Linked DNA regions of Caenorhabditis elegans. The protein of the gene in region 2 interacts with the protein of the main gene of each other region in a pairwise test. Each region holds a gene or a part of one and is shown on either strand. Other genes may lie near its edges.

Region 1 (3,807 bases), on a different chromosome or scaffold from region 2:
ATTGACAGACGAAAAATAGATTGACAGACGAAAAATAGATTGACAGACAAAAAATAGATTGACAGACAAAAAATAGATTGACAGACGAAAAAATAGATTGACAGACGAAAAAATAGATTGACAGACGAAAATATAGATTGACAGACGAAAAAATAGATTGACAGACGAAAAAATAGATTGACAGACGAAAAATAGATTGACAGACGAAAATATAGATTGACAGACAAAAAATAGATTGACAGACGAAAAAATAGATTGACAGACGAAAAAATAGATTGACAGACGAAAAAATAGATTGACAGACGAAAAAATAGATTGACAGACGAAAAAATAGATTGACAGACGAAAAATAGATTGACAGATGAAAATTAGATTGACAGACGAAAAAATAGATTCGGTGAACCCAGAGAGTAAAATATTTAGAAACTTGACATTTTTTCTGAAAAATTTGAATTTCCCGCAAAAATTTTTGTTTGTTTTTTCTGGACATTTTTTCCTTTTTAATAAAAAATTTGTTTAAAAAATTTTGACCTCGTGGCACTCCCGAATTATCCGAGTTATTGTATAAGTTCAAAAAAGTCACAAATATTTATTTTTACGCCCAATCACTTAGAGTTCAACAGTTACCTATTCAATGCGGAGGACATTTCGCGGATCCGAAAATGTCTAAAGTCCGAACCCGTAATATGTCGGGGAACAAAATTTAGTAATCTTTCTGTTTATTGTTTATTGTTCATAGTTCGGCAATACGGTTATAGAAATTACAATTTAAGGTGAAGATCTGAATAAAATTTAACGGAAAGAGTAAGAGTTGGGGAAGATATATTGAAAAGTTATAAAATCGTAAAGTTCATGTAAGTTCACGCAGTGTATGGTGGTGGTGGTGGAGTTTTCAAGGCTTCATCCTTTTTCTCCTCACTTTCCAGCTCTCCAATAGAAACTACGAGAGCTAGCGCCGGGTCTGTCGTGAGCCAGGAGTCAGTTACCAATCCGAATTTCATGGTGTACTTCAAGGACGATCCGCAAGTGTGGAAGCTTGCTGTCAAATCTGTTGGGATTGTAAACGGTATGGTGAACTTTTGAGTTGAGTATGGAGCTACTAAAACGTGCATTTTCCCCTTAGCCTTTGTGTTGCCATATATGTGATAAAGGGGAAAAGGTTCTGCTTCGAGCTCGGCATAGATTTTTTTGACAGTTGATGAGCTATGATTCTCCACTTCCAATTTGAATTCGGTGGTCTCGCCAGGATATAAGGTGAACTTGGGCATTGTAACCTGGAAATTACAAAGTTAGTGAGAAAAAAGTACTGAACATTGGCAAAGATTCGTTTCTGCGTCTACTAGCTCACCTTAAATGTCGGCTGTCCGTTTGAAAACAATGCATCAAATCTTGGACTACTTGTATAAGTCATAACTTGACTCATTTTCTGATCGGCCAGCTTGTGAACCATCTTGAATTCTTTTTCAATGAACAAAGGTCGCGACCATGGTTGGTCAATCTCCAGACGCACTTTGTAGATAATTTTCCCATCCTTGTATGTCGGTGGACAATCTTTTCCTAGTTCGAACTGAAATTTTTGTTCAAGGCGGCCTACTGGGAGCTCATTCTGAAAAATTGAGTTAGATGTTGAAAAAAAAAGAACTAAAACAGTACCTTTCCGTCCTTGCAAATCCATGCAATCCCGTATTTATTCAAGAATGATACAGTTCGGTTTCTAAATCCTCTGCATCTAAACATTACAGATCTGGCATTCAGTGGTCTCTTGGTATCAACCGAAACTGTAAGCTTCATGTTGTCACCTGGGTAGTAGACTGGTTTGTCGAAGGAGATGTCAAGGATCGGATCAGTAGAGCTCATTCTGCAAAAGTGATGAAAAATCGATGAACAACGACAGAAAAAGAATATGCAATGAGTCTACGAGTCGCTACTCAGCCAATTGGCATTTCACTGAGTAGCGACTCGATATATTAAACTTGTAACTACTTTAGATGTGTTGAGTTTAACGGTAAAACCTTGGTTTTAAAGACAAATTTGTAAAATGTGGAACGTGTTAGAAGACCAAAAAAACGAGAAAGAAATGCAAGGACGTGTACAAAAATGACGGAGCAAATGAACGGGCTGCGATTTTATGCACCTGTCCTCCGCCCGCCCATCTTGCGGCTCTTTCAGATCGTGTTGTCTAATCCATCTCAGTGACTCTTGTATTAGCGCTCTTTCTCTAATTGACCATTTTCCCATTCTCTGGCAGATGGTGCGTTTATCTGATAAAGCAGTATTAAACGGCAAATTACAGTGCATCACAGGTAACAGCAGCTGTTAAGCTTGCTTAAGACTAGAAAAAACTTACGTAGTAGTTTAGTTTGATTTCCGGAAAAATTCAAAAACTGTAAAATTCATCAACTAATGAAACTATGGAAACCAAGCTATTCCAATTTCAAGTCGCTACTCAACCAATTGGCATTACACTGAGTAGCGACTCGGTGAACTGGATATTGACATAACTTTTTAAACTTGAACACGAGAAGCTTAATTCTAGAAGCAAGCTTGTAGAAAAAAGTTTTGTAAATACTGGCAAGGTGTGATACATCTTCGACCATGTTTCTAGCATGTAGTCGCTGCTCAGCCAATTCCAAATCACTTTTAGTCCAACTTTCCTTTTTGAAATAAGTTTCAAGCTCATCGTTGAGCAAAGTTATCACTATTTCAACAAATTCGCTGAGTAGCAAGCAACTCAGAAACTTTCAGACCCTGTAACTTACAAACTGAAAATTTACAATTATTTGCATTCAAAAGCCATCATCAGGCTGTGCTTGATCCTCAATTTTCACCCAAATCCGACGACTTTTGACGAAACTCCATACAGTTACCAAGACGCTACTCAGCCAATTACCAAAACTGACCTATACTTTGCTCAGCTATGAGCTAGAAACATGGGTTTAAAAGTAAATTGTAGTACATAAAATTTTGTAATAAATGGTGTAGTGTGATACGGAGCCATAAAAATTGGCTGAGTAGCGACTCACTCAAAAATTAAAACTGCCTTAACTTTGTTCATTTCAGCAGTTGCACATTGGTACAAAAAGCAAAAGTGTTGAGCTGAAATGTTTGTTGTAAATTTTTTTATGTTCAATACATTTTCCCATCTGTTCACCTAACTTTTCTCCGTATCCCTGCGTCTCTCTCTCTATCCCTCGGGAACCCCCCACTCACACAGAGAAGACCTCCTCCCTCTGTCTTTATTGTCTGCGTCTCTCCCGTCCCCACACTCTCTCCCATATTTTTGCAGTGATCCCATTCTTTCTCTCACGTCCAGTCACTGACCTGTACACACACACATTGTGACACACAATTTTCCTTCCCCTTTTTTGCAGTTCTTAATTAGAAATTTTTGCGGATTTTGGGGGAGGGGGGCGGTTGGCAAACTGAGCAATTTTGTAAAAAAATGAAAAATATATTACTTGATAATATTTATAATTTTATTTGGGTTATCAAAGACATGGTTTTTTTTCAGTAATTTTACAAAAAAAAACAAAAAATTGAATAAATTTCATATCGTTATAGCTCAAAAGTGGGCGGAGCCAGAGCAAAAATTTAGAATGAAAAAATGCTCAGAATTCAATTTTCTATAATATATCATCCTCTGAAATTCCAGGGTTTCACAATTTTTCCCCCAAAAATCGGACATTTTTAAGACGAAGCTCGACCGCTTTGGCTTATAGCCAATAAGTGGGCGGAGCCCGAGCAAAAATTTTGTATGGAAGCATTCCTCAGATTTTGATTTCCTGTTTGAGTACTCCATTTTGAACA
Region 2 (8,078 bases):
GATTTTTATCAAGACTATTCAAACATTTCATTCAAACTAGCAAGACATTTAATAGGCACAGTTTCCCGGTAATAATTGATGACGCCATCACATCCATTTCGTCTCCGCAACATCGGTGTTTATCGGTTTCTGCGCGAAAATTGACACGAGCCTACATGGGTTAATTCGCGTCGAATGAACGGTATATATAGATGTTGTTGTTGTTCCGTGCGCCATATCCCTCTCATTGACCCTTATCCGTTTTCCTCTTCAATGGCCTTTTCGTTCCTCTCGGATGCATTGTTCTGCCAGGAACACTCTTCATTCACAGCCGCTCCATGTATTATCTACACCTAACTGCCTGCGTCTCTGTGGGTAGTGTCGTTCCCTCGTACAGTGCATTGCTCGGTCAGGTACCTTCTGCTGCCTCTCTCTCTCTCGTCTCGGTGTCATTGTGTTCCCGCACCCCGTCTGTCTCTAGCTGTAGAGAATGGTTTTTGTTTTCGTCGGATTAGTGTATTCAAATTGGTTCAAAGCAGCTAGACTGTAATTATTTATTTCGGGTATTCCTGATATAGTTATCGTTTTTTTTTTAAATTTCAAAAAGAAATGATGAGTCAGCATATGGAGCTTGGTTATTCATTTCTTTTGTAGAATACAGCGCAAATGAGCAATAACAGCTGGTTTCTGTTTAAACACTTTTCACTGACATGATATATGTTAGAACGTTTGAGATGTGCCAATTTTCAAACAAAAAACGAACAGATTATTCGTTTATCCTGTGACTCAACTAGTATTGAAACATTCAGGGTTTTAAGTAAAGTCTAAAAGAACGTTATTTGTCATGAGTAATAGAATTATGACACCATGAGTTATTCATATGCATCATTTTTATCATGAAGACATGCTGCGATTTCCAACTTATGTTCGTTTTATATAGTTCTAGTTTTATGAAAAAACAAACAACCAACATTTTTTTTAATATCGTTAATCGTTTCAATCTTAAGAAAAGTTCCTCTGATATATTGCTTCATGCTTTGGAACATTTTTTTCTTATTAAATCATAACGATCTTTATCTTATCATAACCGACGGAAAAAGGACAATGTAATGTATAACTTCTATTATCTCTCCGTTCCTTGCAAAATAGATAAGATATATCCAATTTATTCGTGTTGAACTAATTTATCTTCTTTCAAAATTCTTTCGTTTACTTTGATGTTACGGAATTCTAGTTCAACACACTTTCCGACGACCCATGCAATACTTTCAATTTGCATTCCCTCTTCGCACTACGTTTTATGTCTTCCGCCGTTCGGTATTGTGCCCTAACATTGTATATTTAATCAGGATTTAGGTGCCTGACCCTTTTTATTTACCTACTAACACATACTCATGTCGATCCCGAACGCAGGTGTTTGCTTGACATTACCAACTATATATTTGGCACCTTATCCGCTCGTCTCATTTCCCATTTCCTTCCTGCTTGTGACCTAATAATAACTGTCTAAGCAATTTAAAGGTCGGAGAGTTCATGAAGTCAGCTGTCAAATGTTGCGGAACACCACACATGCGTTCTTAATTATGCATGTACAGTCTGCTCCGTACCACCTGCCAGCCCAGAATGACCGTATTTTTACATATAATTTCAAAGCATGGTTCACCCGCATAGGAAGCCTACTTCTACTATATTTTGAGAATTTTCAGACTTGATAGTGCTCATGACTCATATGTAATATTCATTGTTAGAAAATTTGTCTTTTGATGGTTTCAATTTTTGTCTGTTTGCATGATGTTTTCCTGCTTTTCCTCCTTTCCTCTCATCTTTCTCCACTGTTTCTCCTTCACTCACTTTACCATTTTTCTGTCGTCTTCCCCGCTCATTCCTGCCTGTTTTCAAAGTGTTGGAATCAATATGCCCCGCACCTCGCCTCCCCGCGGGGGTTTTGCGATGCGTCATCCTACTTTTCCCTTTTCACCCAAAAATGCTTTCAATTTTATTATTGTTTTGCCTACGGACGCTACTAAATTCTTCTCGTCTATTTAGAAAATTAAAATCTATTCTAAATTAATTTACAGAACCGAACCGAATGAAACATCAGTGCACAAGAACAATTTTTCTGAGATGAAATTGAAGCTCACGGTACTTCTAATACTGGTTCATGCCAGTGCATCATACAAACCGCCCGCAATCGAAGTTGAGGATTATCAAGTTCAGGTTTGTATTTCTTAAACTTGAGAATCTATCTAAATCGAAATTAATTATTTATATAAATTTAAAAGACAATCGGAAAAAAACTTCGCTCTAAAATTGGATAATCTGACTCGTTTGTCTTTTATGTCGGAGCTGTTTGAGACACATTCTATTAAAAAATATAGTGAAATGAGCTTCGGTTCGTTATAAAAATAATAACGTATGGAATGTTTTTGTAAAATTTAGGAAATTGCCATTTCTAAACCAAGAGAGTGAAAATCCATTTCAAAGTTAATTTAAAGTAAAAAACAAATGATATTTGCCTTTAATTTGAAATTAAGGGCATAGAATACATAAGTACCTGAGTTTGTGTAGAAGCAGATATCTATCTTACAGTAAATTTGTTCAGGAACATGACAGCATAGGAAAGTTCGTGGAACTAGAGGAACATACCCGCCTTATCCTAAAGTGCTCTGCACATCATAATGGTGAGTGTTTTTTTTTCTTCAACATTTATGCACGTTTTTGTCGACAAAAAAAATTATGTTCCAGGCGATCTCAAATACAATTTCCCAAGTATGGAAGGGAACGTTGGTTATGACGAAAATAATTTCAAGAAACGTATGGAAGAATATTATGATGACGCATTTGGAGATAAAGTTCTCACTCTCAATGACGTTCGAGAATCGGATACTGGAACATATTCATGCTCTTCAATGGAACATTCGTCATTAAACGATACTATCTACGTGTTTGTTCATCGAAAAAAAGTTTTCCTGCCACTCAAGTCGGTGATGATCATATACAAGCAAGGAGAAGTTATGGTCCCTTGCAAAACAACGAAATTTGTGGATAAAAGTGACATCGAATTATACGCCAGTAATGTTCTTGTGAAAGAAGCTTCTAAATACAATTATGATCAACGATATGGATTTAAAATCACCAAAAAATTGTACAGCGAGAAGCAAATTGTAGATGTTAATTTTGAATGCAGATATAAAAAAGAAGAGAATCAAACAGCAACATATATCATCACTGAAAAAGAAGCAAGTTCGGATGACGGTTATCATTTTTCCTGGGAAAAGGGTTTTCAGTGGCCCCATGTTGGGTACAACTTCTCCCTCACGTGTAACCTCAACTACAACGGTTCGAAAATCTTTCACGGCTACACGAACAAACTTTCCATCGAATGTCCTCAATGTTCACATGATCCAGGGGTAAATCAACCTAGTTTAAAAGTAGCATTATTAATACTTTACTTACAGAGCCATGTACACGTTGATCGACACCGCATCATAGGAAATAAGATATCAACAACCGTCCGCATCCAACATTTAGAGTTGGAAGACTCTGGAAAATATACATGTATTTGGGAGCATGAAAACAAAGAAACAAAATACACCGACTATCATCTTTACGTTGCACCAAAGAAAGCTCAGATCAAGGTGATTGAAACAAGCCCTACAATTATGAGAATCAAGGAAAACCGTGCCACTTCTCTCACCGCGAAGTTTGCAATCTACCCATTTGAAAAAGAAAGCTACACTGCAAAATGGAGTCGAATTTATAACTCTTCAATTCATGAAGGACCACAAAGCGAGACGATTATCAATGACGACTTTCGAAAGATTGCTGCTACATCTTTTGGAGATGGGGCGTTTTCAGAAAATTTGGACATCAAAGCTTTTGCCGTCTCGACAAACATGAGTGGAACGTACGTTTTTTCAAGAGTTAAAAAAAATGATGGAGAATATAAGATTAAGATTTTATTATATGCATTTAGCAACAATTTAACTTCAATTTTTTCGACAGAGTTTTCATTGCCCTAATTTAAAAAAAATATAGAAAATAATTAAGTTCCGCTTAATTACCCCCACAATTAATACTCTTACAGGTACGTTCTCTCCATTTCACACATGGACACAGTGCAAGTCGTTCAATGGGAGGTTGCAATTGAGAATGATGAGCCAGATGTGCAAATTACCGTCCGTGAACCTTCGTCGTTCTTCATCTCCAACCAAGAGTACTATAAACCTGACACCAATCTCCACATTGAATGCATCTCAATTTCAATTCCTCCGGCAGATGTTGTCTTTGAGTATAAAACAAAAAATTCCGAACAATTTCAAGAAATTGAACCGAATAAGTTGGTCAGCGTAGGTGGCACATTTGACAGAGGTTTGATTTACAATGTGACGTTTACGGAAGGCATGGATCTGAAATGCTCGAGTATCAGAAAGGTAACGATCGTAATTTTAAACTGCGAAACACTACAAAATACAAATTTTTCAGGGAAATAGAGCAATTACAGTCAATAAGTTAATAAAAATTGGTGAAGGTTTTGAGGTCCGTCCTCACCACGAAAAAAGCAGCAAAGCCACTGAATCGGAACCTTCGAAAATTATATATGAAGGAGATAACGTCAAATTAACATGCGTGTTTCCTCTCGATTCAGATGATTGGAGTGTTTCGTGGCGTTTTGAAAATTCAAAATCATCAGACATTTCTTCAATACCGACGACAACAGAAACAGAGATAAAGCAGTATTCCAAGCACCTCATTCTCAATTTGAGGTAAGCATATTATTAGTTTTTATTTTAACCTGCTGAAATAAACATTTCAGGGATGTTACTACAAGCTTCACTGGCACATATACATGCGTGGTCAAGAATGAAGACTCCGAAAAACTACTGGAAACTTCAATCGACGTGAAAGCCATTTCAAAACCGTCCATTACAGGCGGAAATTCCAACGCTGTTGTGATAGTAGATTACGATCAATATTTTGAAATTAATTGCAATATGACTGGTACCCCGCCGCCCGTATACCAATGGTTTAAAGATGGAAATCCATATACTCATGGAGATGTTGATGGAAGTATACTTCGTGTTTCAAGAGCCAGAGGTGAAGATGATGGAGAATTTCATTGCCTGGCCACCAACCGTGCTGGAGACAAACTTAATTCCATTGAAGTTCAAGTAAACAATGCACCAAAAGGATCATTGTTTTTCTATTGGTTTTTAGCCTTGTTATTACTTATCTCCATCATAGCTGTTTTTCTTCTTACATGCAAACTGCGAGCATCAAACCGATTGACAAAGCAGAAAGATATGTAAGTGTTCAGTAACATTAAACATTTGAGCATACTCCAATTTCAGAGCTTTGAACACACTTTACGAAACGATGATCAAACATCAAGCAGGACCACTTCCAGAAGAAATGAAGGATCTTCCAGTTGAAGAACGAACATATTATCTTCCATATAACAATGATTATGAAATTGACCCTGTCAATCTTGAAATTTTAAATCCAATTGGCTCTGGTCACTTTGGTGTCGTAAAGAAAGGTCTTTTGGGAATGGCATACCCTAAAAGCAAAATTGAGTCGAAAACTCGCCTTCCTGTTGCTGTGAAAAGTTTGTTTACAAAACTTGTTGAATTTTTTCTCAAGTTATTAATTTTAGGCTCCACAAACCCATTCAACGTTGAGCTTCAGAAAATGATGGCAGAAGAACTGAAAGTTATGTGTGCCATTCCAAAGAATCCCAATGTTCTGGCTCTTATTGGCGCTGTAACTAAAAACATGAGACAGTAAGTTTTAATTTCAAAAATGAAAACAAATTTGATTGCAGTTTCTCAAACCATGTTTAATATTTGCAGGGGACAACTCTACATTGTAACGGAATTCATTGACGGTGGAAATTTGCGCGAATTCCTTCAAGCGCATAGAAATACATTCATTAACGAACTTGTTGAAGACGAGCATGTTCCAGTTGACGATAGTTATCTGGTCCCAAATAGTGTGAAGAAGAAAATATACAAATTTGACGAGAAGTTGGGAGAAGGAACAAGATTGCTAGTTGAAGATCCAGATGCACTTTGTACCTCGGATCTTTTATCTATTGGACTTCAAATTGCAAAAGGAATGGCTTGGCTTGCAGATGTTCCCGTAAGTAAAACTGTGCAAGAGCTCTGAAAATATTTAATTTTAGTGTGTTCATCGTGATTTGGCTTGCCGAAATGTTCTCATTACCAAAACGAAAATTGTTCGTATTGCTGATTTTGGTCTTTCGAAGAAACATACGAATAAAACCTACTATAGGTGAGATTTATCATTAACATAGATTCAAAATGAAATTTATTTTTGAATTTTAGGACGAAGAAGAGCAAGGATACTCCACTCCCAGTTCGATGGATGCCGTTAGAGTGTATTGAAGAATTTAAATTCACTCAAAAATCTGATGTCTGGTCTTTTGGAATTTGTCTCTATGAGATCTTCACATTAGGCGGGACTCCATATCCAAATTGTGATACTTTCAACGTTATTGAATTCATTCGAAATGGAAATCGAAACAAACAACCAGAATACTGCCATGACGAAATGTGAGTTTGGGGAATTTTTAAAACGAATACACGTTATTTTCAAATTAATTCTAAAAGCAATCGTTCAGTTATGAGCTAATGAAAGTGTGCTGGCAATTTAATCCAAAAGATCGTCCAACATTCAATGATTGTATCACGTTCTTTGAAAATCATATGCGAGATTCTTCTAGCCAGGTAACTTTTGTGTAAAACTTATGCAGTTCTTCAATTTTATTTTCAGTTTCTTGAACGCGTCGAAAACATGTTGCACACGGAAATGCAAGAACAGTCAAAACTTGATGATTGGATTCAAGATTCGCGTCCTGATGTCCCTAATGTGTCATTCCAAAAGTCTCCGAAAAAACAAAAGGAAGAAAGATATTTGATCGTAGAAAGTCATGCCTAGTTTCTTTGATTTTGGTTAAACCAACTGACTCTGGCATTTTCTAGAATATCAAACTTGTGACATATTTTTTCTTGTATTTATTTTCAAACATTCCAATACCAAAAAAACTACTGCCCTCCATCCCCACCCCTTTCATTGTTTCCTGCTTCTATTAGGAGAGAAAAATTAGCAAACTTTCTAGATCTAAATGATGAACACCTCTTTTTTATTGTGTCAACGTCGGCGACAAGAAACAGGGAAAATTTATCAATTAAATCAAAAATAACAGTTGTGATTGAAATTCAATTTCATTTTCCTAATTTTAGCTCACCTTTAAAGTAATCAACTTAATAATCAATTCAATTCCCATTCCCCTCCCTTCCCCCCATCAAAAATTTACGGTTCGTTCCAATAGTCAATCGCAAACTCACACACTCGGTTCAATTTTTCGTTTTTCTTTTCTTTTTTTAATGATTAGATAAATAAATCCTTGTTATATTTTTAATGTGAGCATGTAAGAACAAGAAATGATTACAAGCAGAAAATCATCCTGCAATGTTTTTCAGAAATTAAAGAATATCACTTCGGACAGTTTTGGACAATGTGCTTAATGTACAAAAACAAAGCAATTCAACAGTAGGTAATATTTATTTGATAATCTGAAAATTAATATCGCAAAAATAAAATGAAAAGCGTTGAAATGAAATTTCTAAAAAGATTAGGCCAATTTCACAGATTATCCCATTCGTCGTATGCAGAGTTTGGCTGATATTCTTCTTCATTTGTTGGCTTTTTTTTCAATGCAATTTGATTCTAAAGTATTCAATACAAAACAATTCACAAGGTTGAAAAAACCTGCTCTCGTTCAAATTGCCAACTTTCAAAATCGCGTAGGGTAACTTGGACGTACGAAGTGACATAGTGTTGCTCCTCTGTTCTTTGATACTTTTGAAGCAAGTCAAGAGCCAGCTCTTTGAGCTCTGCCAAATTCAAAGCTTCGCATTCACCGACCAACCTAGATAAATTCAGAATGAAGTGAAACAAGAAATGAAAATTTACTTTGCAAGATCATCCGGTTTACTGGGGAGAGCAAGTGATGGGACAAACTTTTCTTTTTTCAATCGAAGATAAGCAAGGATGTGTCGGAAACATTTAGCGTC

The links.
Region 1: the proteins of ver-3 (region 2) and arrd-1 interact in a two-hybrid assay, tested with the Caenorhabditis elegans proteins (one large-scale study listed by BioGRID).

The regions. Positions count from the first base shown.
Region 1 is NC_003280.10:625,564-629,370, reverse strand, and holds arrd-1 (Arrestin C-terminal-like domain-containing protein), read right to left. Parts: upstream 1,867-3,807; 5' UTR 1,858-1,866; coding exon 1,654-1,857; intron 1,607-1,653; coding exon 1,349-1,606; intron 1,275-1,348; coding exon 861-1,274; 3' UTR 713-860; downstream 1-712.
Region 2 is NC_003284.9:10,990,428-10,998,505, forward strand, and holds ver-3 (Tyrosine-protein kinase receptor ver-3), read left to right. Parts: upstream 1-2,049; 5' UTR 2,050-2,103; coding exon 2,104-2,196; intron 2,197-2,581; coding exon 2,582-2,660; intron 2,661-2,724; coding exon 2,725-3,389; intron 3,390-3,437; coding exon 3,438-3,886; intron 3,887-4,066; coding exon 4,067-4,412; intron 4,413-4,464; coding exon 4,465-4,745; intron 4,746-4,795; coding exon 4,796-5,284; intron 5,285-5,330; coding exon 5,331-5,587; intron 5,588-5,635; coding exon 5,636-5,762; intron 5,763-5,831; coding exon 5,832-6,120; intron 6,121-6,163; coding exon 6,164-6,273; intron 6,274-6,326; coding exon 6,327-6,554; intron 6,555-6,622; coding exon 6,623-6,728; intron 6,729-6,774; coding exon 6,775-6,939; 3' UTR 6,940-7,424; downstream 7,425-8,078. Other genes in the region: F59F3.6 (Potassium channel tetramerization-type BTB domain-containing protein), read right to left, coding at 7,648-7,731, 7,774-7,933, 7,978-8,078. UniProt on the Caenorhabditis elegans protein: Receptor tyrosine kinase which may be involved, downstream of pvf-1, in the positioning of ray 1, the most anterior ray sensillum in the male tail.